2 linked regions of the Drosophila melanogaster genome follow. Changing the gene in region 1 together with any one later gene gives a genetic interaction. Each region holds a gene or a part of one and is shown on either strand. Other genes may lie near its edges. The genes, in order: ara and Ada3.

Region 1 (5,256 bases):
CTGCTCTATTCTACCCACACTTCCAGCCACACCACGTGGATCGTTTCATCCACACACATATATCTTATGCGGAGCGAGGTGAGGACACGCCCAGACCTTATGGCGCAATTCCGTCGTGTAAGTCGCACTTTTTCGGTTTTATAGGTTAATTTGCTTTTATTACATTATCATAAAAATAAACAAACGACAAAAAAAAGAAGAAGAGAAGAACAGGAGAACAAACAAAAACACGCTGCAAACAAGCTTGCCAACATCCGCGGCACCCGCAAAAACATTTGAGGTTTACCTCATCTCCCCCATCACATCGCATCACATCCACGGCGGACTCTCCATTTCCGGAATGCGTGTCCTCGACCGGAGAATTCATCCTGCCGGAGAATCGTAATCGTAAAAAATAGATCGTAAAGCGGATGTCCAAATATGTTAGTGCGCATTAATAGCAAAAACTTTTTTCCAAATCCAGCATTTTCACGGGCTCATGTGCAATATGCGGGTACCTTTTACACACTAAACTTATGGAATTTTATAAATATAGTTAAAAGTTCATAATAAATATGGTGTAAGTGAAAAAGTGGGCCATTCCTTGCCCTAAATTTGACAGTATAATATATATTTTTTATGATTTCTTAAAAGACCGAACTTTCTGCAAAACACACGAGGTTTAAGTTATCTCTAAAAATATCTTAGAAAAATCAATTTTTTTTTTCAATTAATGTATCATAGTGCAGAAACATACGTTGCATGCAATTTATCAAAAAGAAAATTAGGTCAGGCTTTTCTTGTTTTTCGGATACACGTCAAGTGCTATTTAATTGCAATTAAAATTGCTTATGTTCTAGAAGATATTTTAAGTGGCGAAATTAAATTGGCTAGCATATTTAAGTAGCATAACAATTAGTTTAGTTAGATAATTAAAGTATTTTAATTGCCATAAATATTGTTCGCCAAAGTATCGCAAATGTTGAAAATACTTAAATGATCTGTGTCTGTTAAAAAGCAATTGCAGTAAAAAAATGCAATACACATTTTATAAAAAATTTAAAATGTCTCAAAGTTAATATATGTTATGATTACTAATAACATAACCTAAGCTAAGTAAAAATCTGGTTGATATTTAAAAATCCCAAGAATTAATGGTATGATTGCCTGTTTGAGTAAGGATATTAATTCCTTCCATAAAAAGTTAAAATCTTGTTGATAATTTAAGTAACTGGTATCCAAGTGGAATGATATTTAAACAAAGATCGCTGGAAATGTTTCATTTAAACCCGAATTAGGAGAGATTAATTAGTGAGGATCGATAATGGGAGTTAACTAAAGTGCAATGCAGCGATAAAGATAATGACAGACGATAAATACAGTGCGAGTGTCTTGGAATTTGCTGATCTTATTAACGCTTTTGTGTCGCCACTTTTGGCCATCGCAGCACTTTGTTGCCACTTCCAGCTGGCGATCGCTGGTGGCGCACTTCCAGTCGATGGGCGCGCAATTGTGAAAAGTAAACAAACAAATGACTAGCCAAACAAAACAAATGGGCGTTGCCCGGGAATTGTGGGTAAAACAAGAGACCATCGACAGTTGTGAAAATGCGTCCCGCTCCCTACCCACTTCCTCTCCCTTCACCATCCGCTCATTTCATTTGTATTTTCTTTTCTTTGCTTTCTTTCGCCTGGCGACCTCGCACCTGTCCATTAAATCAGCCAGCCGAAGCTCATGCAGCCCTACGATTGGTGGTTGCGCTGGCCTCACTTCCAGTGAGCCGCGAATACGAGTCACTGGCGGGGAATCGGATTGGAATTGCGGAGAGAGCGACCGGCCAAATGCCACCACCAACACCAGACAAAACCGGAGAACGGTGGGCGTTGCTCTAGAGTGCTTACACTTCCAGTCTGCCGACTCCGTTATTCTTGTTGCTCGCTCCAAGGCGAGCGGCATTCCGTTTCTCTTTCGATGGGGGGAGGCAGCATATTGTTGTCCCGCTTCCGCGCCAACTGCAGCGGAATGCGCCCCAACAGCGCAGCAACAACAACAGCAACAGCAGCAGCAACACGGCCAACAGCAACGGCATTCGCAACCAGTTCGTGTTCGAACGTTATAAGGTGCACATCTGAAAGGGAGCGTGTGCTGAAGCGCCGCGTTTTTGCCGTCGATATTTCGTCGATTTTTCGTTGCCGCCGCGTTTTGCGAGTGCTGTTAGCCAGAAAAAAAAATAAAATATATATAAACAAAAATCCACCACAAGTGACAGCTGCAACTGCAAATACCAAACAAATCCACGAGATACTTTCGGTTGGCCCAATGTCGTTATGGTCGTTATCGCCAGTGCCCACTGTGAACAGACCCAATCGAAACTGAGCTGTTAAACCCCCGATAAGCACATCATTTGATGTAGCAGCTTCACCGTATATCCTTCAGCAGACTGCCCACGAGCGAGAGAGAGAGAGAGAGAGAGAGAGAGAGTATCTTAAGACTAGGTCTTATATAGTCGTATAGTCATATAGCGAAATGGCTGCCTACACACAATTCGGATACGGAGGCTTTCCGTCGGCCTCGCAGGTGGGTCCTCTAATTAACTAAATTTGATCTAGATGTATATACTATATGATGGCTATTCATATTCATTAAGTAGCAAGAGATCTCAAGATAACTAGAGGAATGAAAATGTTTATTAACTGCAGATATGGGAACCTATTTAGATACAATATTATTCATACGACTGATATAATCAACTGATTATTGTAATTATGATTGCCTTAAAGATTCATAATTTTTATGTTTGGAGGTATTAAAAACAGAGGTCACAAGCAAAAAGCGTTGTAAAATCATATTTTTTCATATACATATTTAATTTTTCTATTTATAATCACAACTATCTTTTCTGGAGTGCGTTCCATCATTAAAACTGAACCCGTTATCTGAATATTTTTTCTAAAATTTTTTTCCTAAAAAAGCTTGGTTGGGTTTAAATTCTATTTGTGTGTTTTTTAAGCAATCCTTACCACCAACTTTCATCTGAGTACTTCCACCGACTCCAGTCAAAGTTATCCGATTATTTGATCTTGAGGACCCACTATAGGGCAAAACCGCTAAAAGTCTTTGATTGTAGCGCTTTTGGACTTTTCACTAAGCAGCAAAAACAGCTGCTTGAGGCAAACTTTTTCCATGTTTATGACAGTAAATTGGTGGCAGGCCAGCAAAAAACCATAATAAATCAGATGGCTGATAAATGGCCTGAGAAAAAGCCACTCCGAGGAATCAGGCGTTTTTGTCAACCTTCAAAATTCACACAAAAAACGATTCGGCGTTTTAAAGATGTTGCACAAAATTGCGCGGCTTGCAGGTGCAACTAAAATATTTGTAAAATATTGTGATAAATTACAAAAGTTGTAGAAGCTTTCGAAAGGCCTAGAGTAAATTAAATTTCCTATTGATTGCGTTTGCCTGGGCTAAACTTTAATTTCCCAGGCCATAATACTTGGTTACCAATTGCCTGGTTCTTCCTCCAAAGAACTCTGGCGTCTTTCCCATTTCGGACCACACGAGCCCAATTAACTAAAGTCGAAAACGAAAGCAAAAAAAAAAAAAAAAAACTAAAGAAAAAGGAAAAGAAAAAAGGGAAAAGCCTTGGCAATCAGAAGGCCAAGACGATGGGAGGTGCCGATTGAGGCACGCTCAGGTGAAACTGTTGAAAAGTCAATAAAATTCAATTGCGGCGATCGTAAATCATAAAATTCATAACCGTAAAGTGACAGCTGAGGGCAGGCTCTGGGAATGCCCTCCTGGCTACGTGAGGAGCATCCATTGAATCTGGAGATGGCAGATAGGATAGCATCCGAATCCCAACGAACACGATCGATGGACCAATGACTTGGCTCCACTCTGATCTACTTTACATTGGCTTCGTTTTGGGGAGTGAGGAGAATGAGCGGAGTGCGGCTCCAAGTGGCGCTTATAGTCCGGTGCTATCAACTTGGTCATCTGGAGGAGATTGTCGGGGGAGGCACTCGGATGCAGAATCGCGGTAGCCTGGCCGCTTTGGTGGACCCACGAGATACAAGCTGCGATTAGATCGCTGCGTTTGCGATTCACAGAAATTTCCAAAGCCAGTGCAACTCAGAAGTTGGGTATCTGGCATTGGGCATTGGGTACTGGTTACTGGTTACTGGTTACTGCTCACTGGGCACACACATGGCCAGCAGATCTTATCTGCGCACTGTCGCCTGCCAGTCGTCGTCGTCGTCTGCATCCTCCAACTGCGAACAACGAAAGTTCCACGTTCCATCCGCAGACGTGGCCAATTCACATGGCCCACTGGACCACTGGCGCTTCCTCCGAGAGCGGAAAGGTACTGCTGGAATGGAGTCCTCTACCTCATGAATAATGCATTCGCTCAAGGAGCTGAGGAATCTGGCAGGCGCATAGAGCTCCCTATATGGTGTCGCCTATCAGATTAGTTGTCATAATTCTCATATTGTTGCGTTTGCCGAGAAACTCTGGGAACGCGTTGCCTCCTTTCGATCGCTGAACATTCCCATACAGAATCGAGCGAAATGTATTTGCTTTTTACTAATTAAAATCACGCGGCACGGTGGAATACAAAAAAAAAAGTCAAAAAAGTAAAACAACTGAATCATTCATTTGTAAAATTTTGATAAATGGCTGTGAGTTTTCACATTTTTTTTTTCGATGTCCCTATATATAGTCAGCGGTCTTGGCCTCGAAATTCTATTATTTGTGCGTTTCAGCACGACTCAAAAAAAAATATGTTTTTCCTTTATTAATTATGATCGGACTTGAGCGACCTTCTAGTAGATCACTCACCTGCTGAATTTCGAGGGGATCAATCTCGAATCGAATCGATCGCATCTGATAATTATAAAATAATATGCATGTGCTGCGATTTTCGGGCGAAGAAGATGGTTCTATTGTCAGATTATGTTAATGACGCGGAATAATTATGCATTCTGCTGGCTGCATTTAAGTTTTGACCGCGAATTCGGCCACAGAAGCCGTGTTAGCCGGGCTAAAATTGTTGCTGCCCAGATATTATGACCTTTTGCTGGGCACTTCGATCAATTTGTAGCTGTCCAACGGGCGGAGCACTCAACTTAATTATGGGTTCGGTGCGTCGATATTTTCGCCCAGAAGACTAAAGTCTTCAGATTCCAGACCTTAAGACTTCCAGACTTCAAACTTCAAGACTTCCAGACTTCAAACTTCCAGACTTCAGTTTGCAGATTGCAGACTGTGGGGAAA
Region 2 (5,103 bases), on another chromosome or scaffold:
GACGCAAATATTTGATCAATAAAACAAGAGCGGAGGGTTTGTTCAGGTTTTGGCGGCACTGCAAATACCCTTACCCGCCCGCGGTTATTGTTCGACATATTGTTCTAGATATTATGTGCAATCCACGATGGGATTATCTCGCAAAACAAACGTGTTTGTGTGTACACTATCCTTTCTATGACGAGATATAAATTCAAATTAGCTACGATTTTCAGTTGTTCTATCTACCAGATGATATTCACATTGCCAAGATTGCAAATAGCAAAAACAAAGAATTAACTAAAGAAACAAAGAACTATATAGACTGATGATCACTTTTTACTTGAGATAATAGATGGGGGAAGCTTGTATTTATCTTTGTATTGAAGAACAAACAAAAGAAACTCGAAACGAATATATCACTTCTCTTTAATGTACACATCTTATGGAATACAAAACATGAAACCAAGCTTAAATAAAACACTTTTGTCCGCTGTTCATTTATATTAAATTGTTTTCACTGTTTATTTTAGGATCTTTAGAACCGAAACTCTCGGGGATCGAATTTTAACTTAAACAATACACTTCGCACTTTTTGATTGTAAAATAGACAAGTCGAAGTTAAGTTAATTGGCGTAGAACGAAAATAAAAAACTTTTGCAGTTCGGTGATAGATCATAGCTTAAAGGTGGCATTGCAAACCTCTTCTGATAGCGAAAATGCCCAGTTGGGAAAGTGTAGTCAAATCGAAGGGAAACAGCGTTTTGAAGCTGGGATATTTGTGCATATGTCGGCACGACTGAACCCAACTAAACCGAACTGAATCGCTGGATGTTGGCTTTTGATTTTCGTTGATTCCCGCCCGCGGGGAGGGGGGGTGTGGTCGTGAGCAGCGAAGGGGGCGTGGCGGCTGAGCGTCAATTCGACTTGTCTTGTGATTTGCGCCTCACAATTGGACAAACGAGGCGCAATTGGAGGCAACCAGTCCGAGATTATCGGATGCTTCGATGTTTTGGGTGCTTGGATGTTCAAATGTTTGGATGTGTTTGCATGCTTTGTGGGATTTTGGGGGGGTGGGGTTTGGGAAATGGGTGTTCAATTACATAAAATTACATACATACACTGCAGTTTGCACTTGCAGTTCGTCTGCGGAAGGGGGGGAATGGGTCTACTCTAACATCGCAAGCTGCTCCCACTGGCCATTACAAATTGTCAACAGTCGCTGATTTGTTAAGTACACTGCTTATCACCGAAATAGCGCGCATATCACTAAAAAATTCAGACGACGACGGGCGAAATGCGAACGCCAAACAACAACAAAGAACTGAACAAAAAAGCAAAGTATTGGTAAGCACGCGCGCTACGCGGCCACCAGTGTTGCACAGCGCTGGAGCAGCTCTGTTGTGCACGATCACTGTTATAGTTGCAGAGAGTATTTTTCACTATTTTGTGGATAAAATCAAGTGGTATGAAAATGTATCCATGCGATAATGTTCCGTTATCTTCAATTGCTGAAATAAAGTCAAATAAACAGTTTCAATTACTGCTAAAGTTAATTAATGAAATGCTAGTTAAGTATGTCTTAAATTATAAATATTTAGCTACTCATGAGAATTTTTTTTGTTTGGCCCACTGTGCATAACCCGCGCGTGTAGCCCATTCCAGTATTTTACCATCTTGTACATTAGTATTTACCCGTCTTCCGCTACGGTCACACTGCCATATCGACGCAAAACAAATTGCGATTTTCACAACACAAGAAAAGCAGGAAAAACAGCAAATATATCCGCAATCTAGCTAACACACAGGTCCCCAACCAGTCGCAGTCGCGTTCCATGAGTGCGAACCTGAAGAATATCAAACTGGCCCACTTCAGTGGTTCGCTCGGTTCCGGTGGCTTTGGCATCTCTGCGTCATCCGGAGGAGCTGGAAAACTGCCCACAAATGGCACAGGTGGCGGCAAATCCGCCCCAACGAGCACCTTCCTGGACTCCGAGGTGCTGGCCACGCCCGGCGGCGTCGTTATACCAATAATTCGCACTCGGGACGTGCCCAAATTGCTGCCCACCATTGCAGCGGCACTGCAGCGTCCGGCGGATGATCATTTGGCGGCCGAGGATCTGGATGCAGTGCAACTGGAGCTGGAACAGATGCTCTCCAATGTGGCGCTGCGCACGCGCGTCCTGAAAGCGGAGTATGATAGCCTCGACAAGGATGAGAAGCGCCAGGATCGAAGAAAGCTCGACCGTGTGCCTGGATCGCCACCTTGTCCGGCTAGCATGCTCAACGGCTTGCTGGGCATCGGCAGCAACTCGTCGACGAGTCTGGGCAGCCCGCTGGGCGGCGGAGGCGCCTCATCCTCTAGCCAATCGAAGCGCAAGCGGGATGAGCCAACGGGCGTGCGCAAAAAGCACTCTTCGATGACCATTCTCAAGCAACAGGGCGTTTCCGGCGGCACCTCGAAGCACCAGGCCAAGAACAGCCCCTTGGTCGTGCACACCGACGACAGCATGGACTATCTGCCCACACTGGCGGCCGCCAATGCCTCTGGATCCGTGCTGCCGCATCACCAGCCGCTGCCGCAGCTACCGAAAATGACGGTGCCCAAGAACGATACGCCCAACAAGTTCTGGCTATCCGTGGAGCCCTACTGCATGCCTCTAACCAACGAGGATCTGCGCCTAATCGATGACCTGCTGGAGCAGTATTGGGGTCCACTGGTGCCGCCAGTGCCACCTCTGGGTCCCCACTACTCCACAGTTTGGGCCCAGGAGGATATAAAGGCGCTGCAGCCGGGCGGAGCTCGAATTAAATCGAACAATTCCAGCGGAATGCTCAAAAAGGCCGAAGGCATGGTGGATGAGAGCATCACTGGTCCACTCACCCAGCGTTTGGTGTCCGCCTTAATGGAGGAGTCCCTGATGACGCTGCCCAGCGAACAGGCCGCCGTGGGCGAGCACAGCAACAGCACCACGAGCAGCAGCAACGAGAACACCCACTCGCACTCCTCGTCCTCGGCAAATGCTGCCGCAGCAGCTGCTTCCGGGAACTTTCGATCTCTCGCCATGATGAAACACGGCGTGGGCATCGAACAGCGCCTGAAGAAGACTCTCATCGAGAACGGACTGATCGATGCCAGTGAGTTTGCGGCCCACGAAGACGTGGACGAGGTGCTGATGGAGATCAAGCGCGTAACGACCGAAATCAGCACCATTTCGCAGTTTAACAGCGAGGAATTGAAGCGACTGCGTGCCGTTGCCAGTGAGGAAATCAAGCGCATTGCCATCAAACAGAAATTGGACATGGTGGACCAGGAGATACTCGAGTGCTACAAGCGAATGCTGCAGTATCGGGCCAAGCGCAAGGGCCACACCATCGAGGAGAAGCAGGAGATACTGCGGCTGACCAACGAGCAGCGCCTACTTGCGGATCAGCTGGAGCGTATGCAGATGCATCTGCCCTGCATCGGCGGCTCCGGCAACTCCCTGTTAGAGCCAAAGATGTAGGACAGGAGCCTGGCCTGGGGCTGGTGCCAGCTAATGGCCATGCATCAGGCAAAGAGGCAGGTCCGCGACGCTAGCCTCAAGCTGCAGTGCGTCTGAAGGAGCTGCTCCTCCTTACTCGCCACTCCTTTCATTTCGCCAGACTGTAAATTAGCCACGCTATTCGACACGTACACGTAGCCTCTAGTGTCCGCAATCCAAGTTGTGGACGTTTTGGGAAGATGCGCTCATGGTGGCGGAAAATGTTTTGCATAAGTTTTCCTCGAGTTTTGGCATTCGTTTTCCCCAAATCGAACGCCACTTTTGAGTCGTTTTCGACTAGCTTCCAAACCCGTATTCTTATCTTCGTCACCAGACTGTACATTAACAAAGATACATTAGCTCATAGAATGTAGTGTTCAAGATTAAAGTGAAATTAATTATTTAGATAAGATCTTCAAGTGGCGGAGAGTAGCGTTTGCGTATTTTAAACTGTTCTTTTACAAAATCATAATTTCCCTTTCCTTGCTTAGTAACGTATTCCGTATTCTGTAAGCCTACAGTTTTTTGCCAATTTGTTTGTAATTGCCTGAAAATTAAATGGATATCCGTAGATTTTACATGCTAAATGCTAAATTTGATTTTGTGTACATAAAAGTGGAGGGTGAGATTCGCATTATTCGCTAAATGAACTGAAAAACTTTCCGCTACTGGAATTTCCCAAAATTTTACGAGCACGTTGTTTTCCTCATGTCTTTCGCAACTATAAATATTGATTCACCCTATTTAACACTCCCAAATACATACACTTTGTATAGCTTAAGTTATCGCGCGGCAATAAAGTCGTCACTATCGAGAGTAAAGCACAGAATTTTCCACCATGGGAGTGAGTTTGGGAGGAGAGAAACCACCGCGCTGGGCGAACGCTGCGTACGCTTTGAGCTCGATCTGGCCGACGAAGCGGGCAAGTGAACTCCAGCGGATGTGGGGAATCCTCTGCCGTTGCTTCGATCTTGTTTGCCCAGCCGATAAGGCGCAATCAAAGTCGGCAACTCCAGCGTACGGCTAATTAAAGCCAAACAAGCGAGCCGGCCATCTTCGATCGGAGGAAGCCCTTCCGGGCCACGCGGATTGGCTATCTCTAGAACGCTAATCGCCAGGCAAATATATCCAGAAACAAACTTTATTATACGTAGCAAATGGCAGTCAAATCTGATCTTCTAATATGTGCAAGTTTTTAGTCTTGGGTGAACACGTCGTCAGTGGCCTTCCTCTGAATGTATGCTAGATGATGTTTGTGGGTATAAAGATTCATTGTACTTCATGTATGCCGCGGTGCATCTTGCTTGACTGGTCGATCCCTTTCGCCCGCCACCCGATCCCGTATCACAAACGCAGTCACAGTCTTTCGTATACTAAATGTAAGGTGGGAGCTCGGACGGCATCGAGTTAATCGCCGAAGCCAGCGAACTCATCCACATAGGTGGACATCAGATCAGAGCGACAGGAGACCTGAATGTTGGAGGCATTGGCCTTGAGCCGAAGGTTCGCGTCGTTGGTGAGCAGGATCATGTGGGGAACCTGCGCCTGCAGCTGCAGGCAGCAATTCAAAATGCTGTCATCCGGGCAGTCGATCTTGATC

The links.
Region 2: of ara (region 1) and Ada3, changing one suppresses a phenotype caused by changing the other (phenotypic suppression), as found in Drosophila melanogaster (one study listed by BioGRID).

What each region holds. Positions count from the first base shown.
Region 1 is NT_037436.4:12,578,598-12,583,853, forward strand, and holds the start of ara (araucan), read left to right. Parts: upstream 1-2,074; 5' UTR 2,075-2,505; coding exon 2,506-2,556; intron 2,557-5,256. UniProt on the Drosophila melanogaster protein: Controls proneural and vein forming genes. Positive transcriptional controller of AC-SC (achaete-scute). May act as an activator that interacts with the transcriptional complex assembled on the AC and SC promoters and participates in transcription initiation.
Region 2 is NC_004354.4:18,084,098-18,089,200, forward strand, and holds Ada3 (transcriptional adaptor 3), read left to right. Parts: upstream 1-1,663; 5' UTR 1,664-1,814; coding exon 1,815-3,485; coding exon of another isoform or gene 3,486-3,581; 3' UTR 3,582-4,321; downstream 4,322-5,103. Other genes in the region: Swt1 RNA endoribonuclease, read right to left, coding at 4,911-5,103.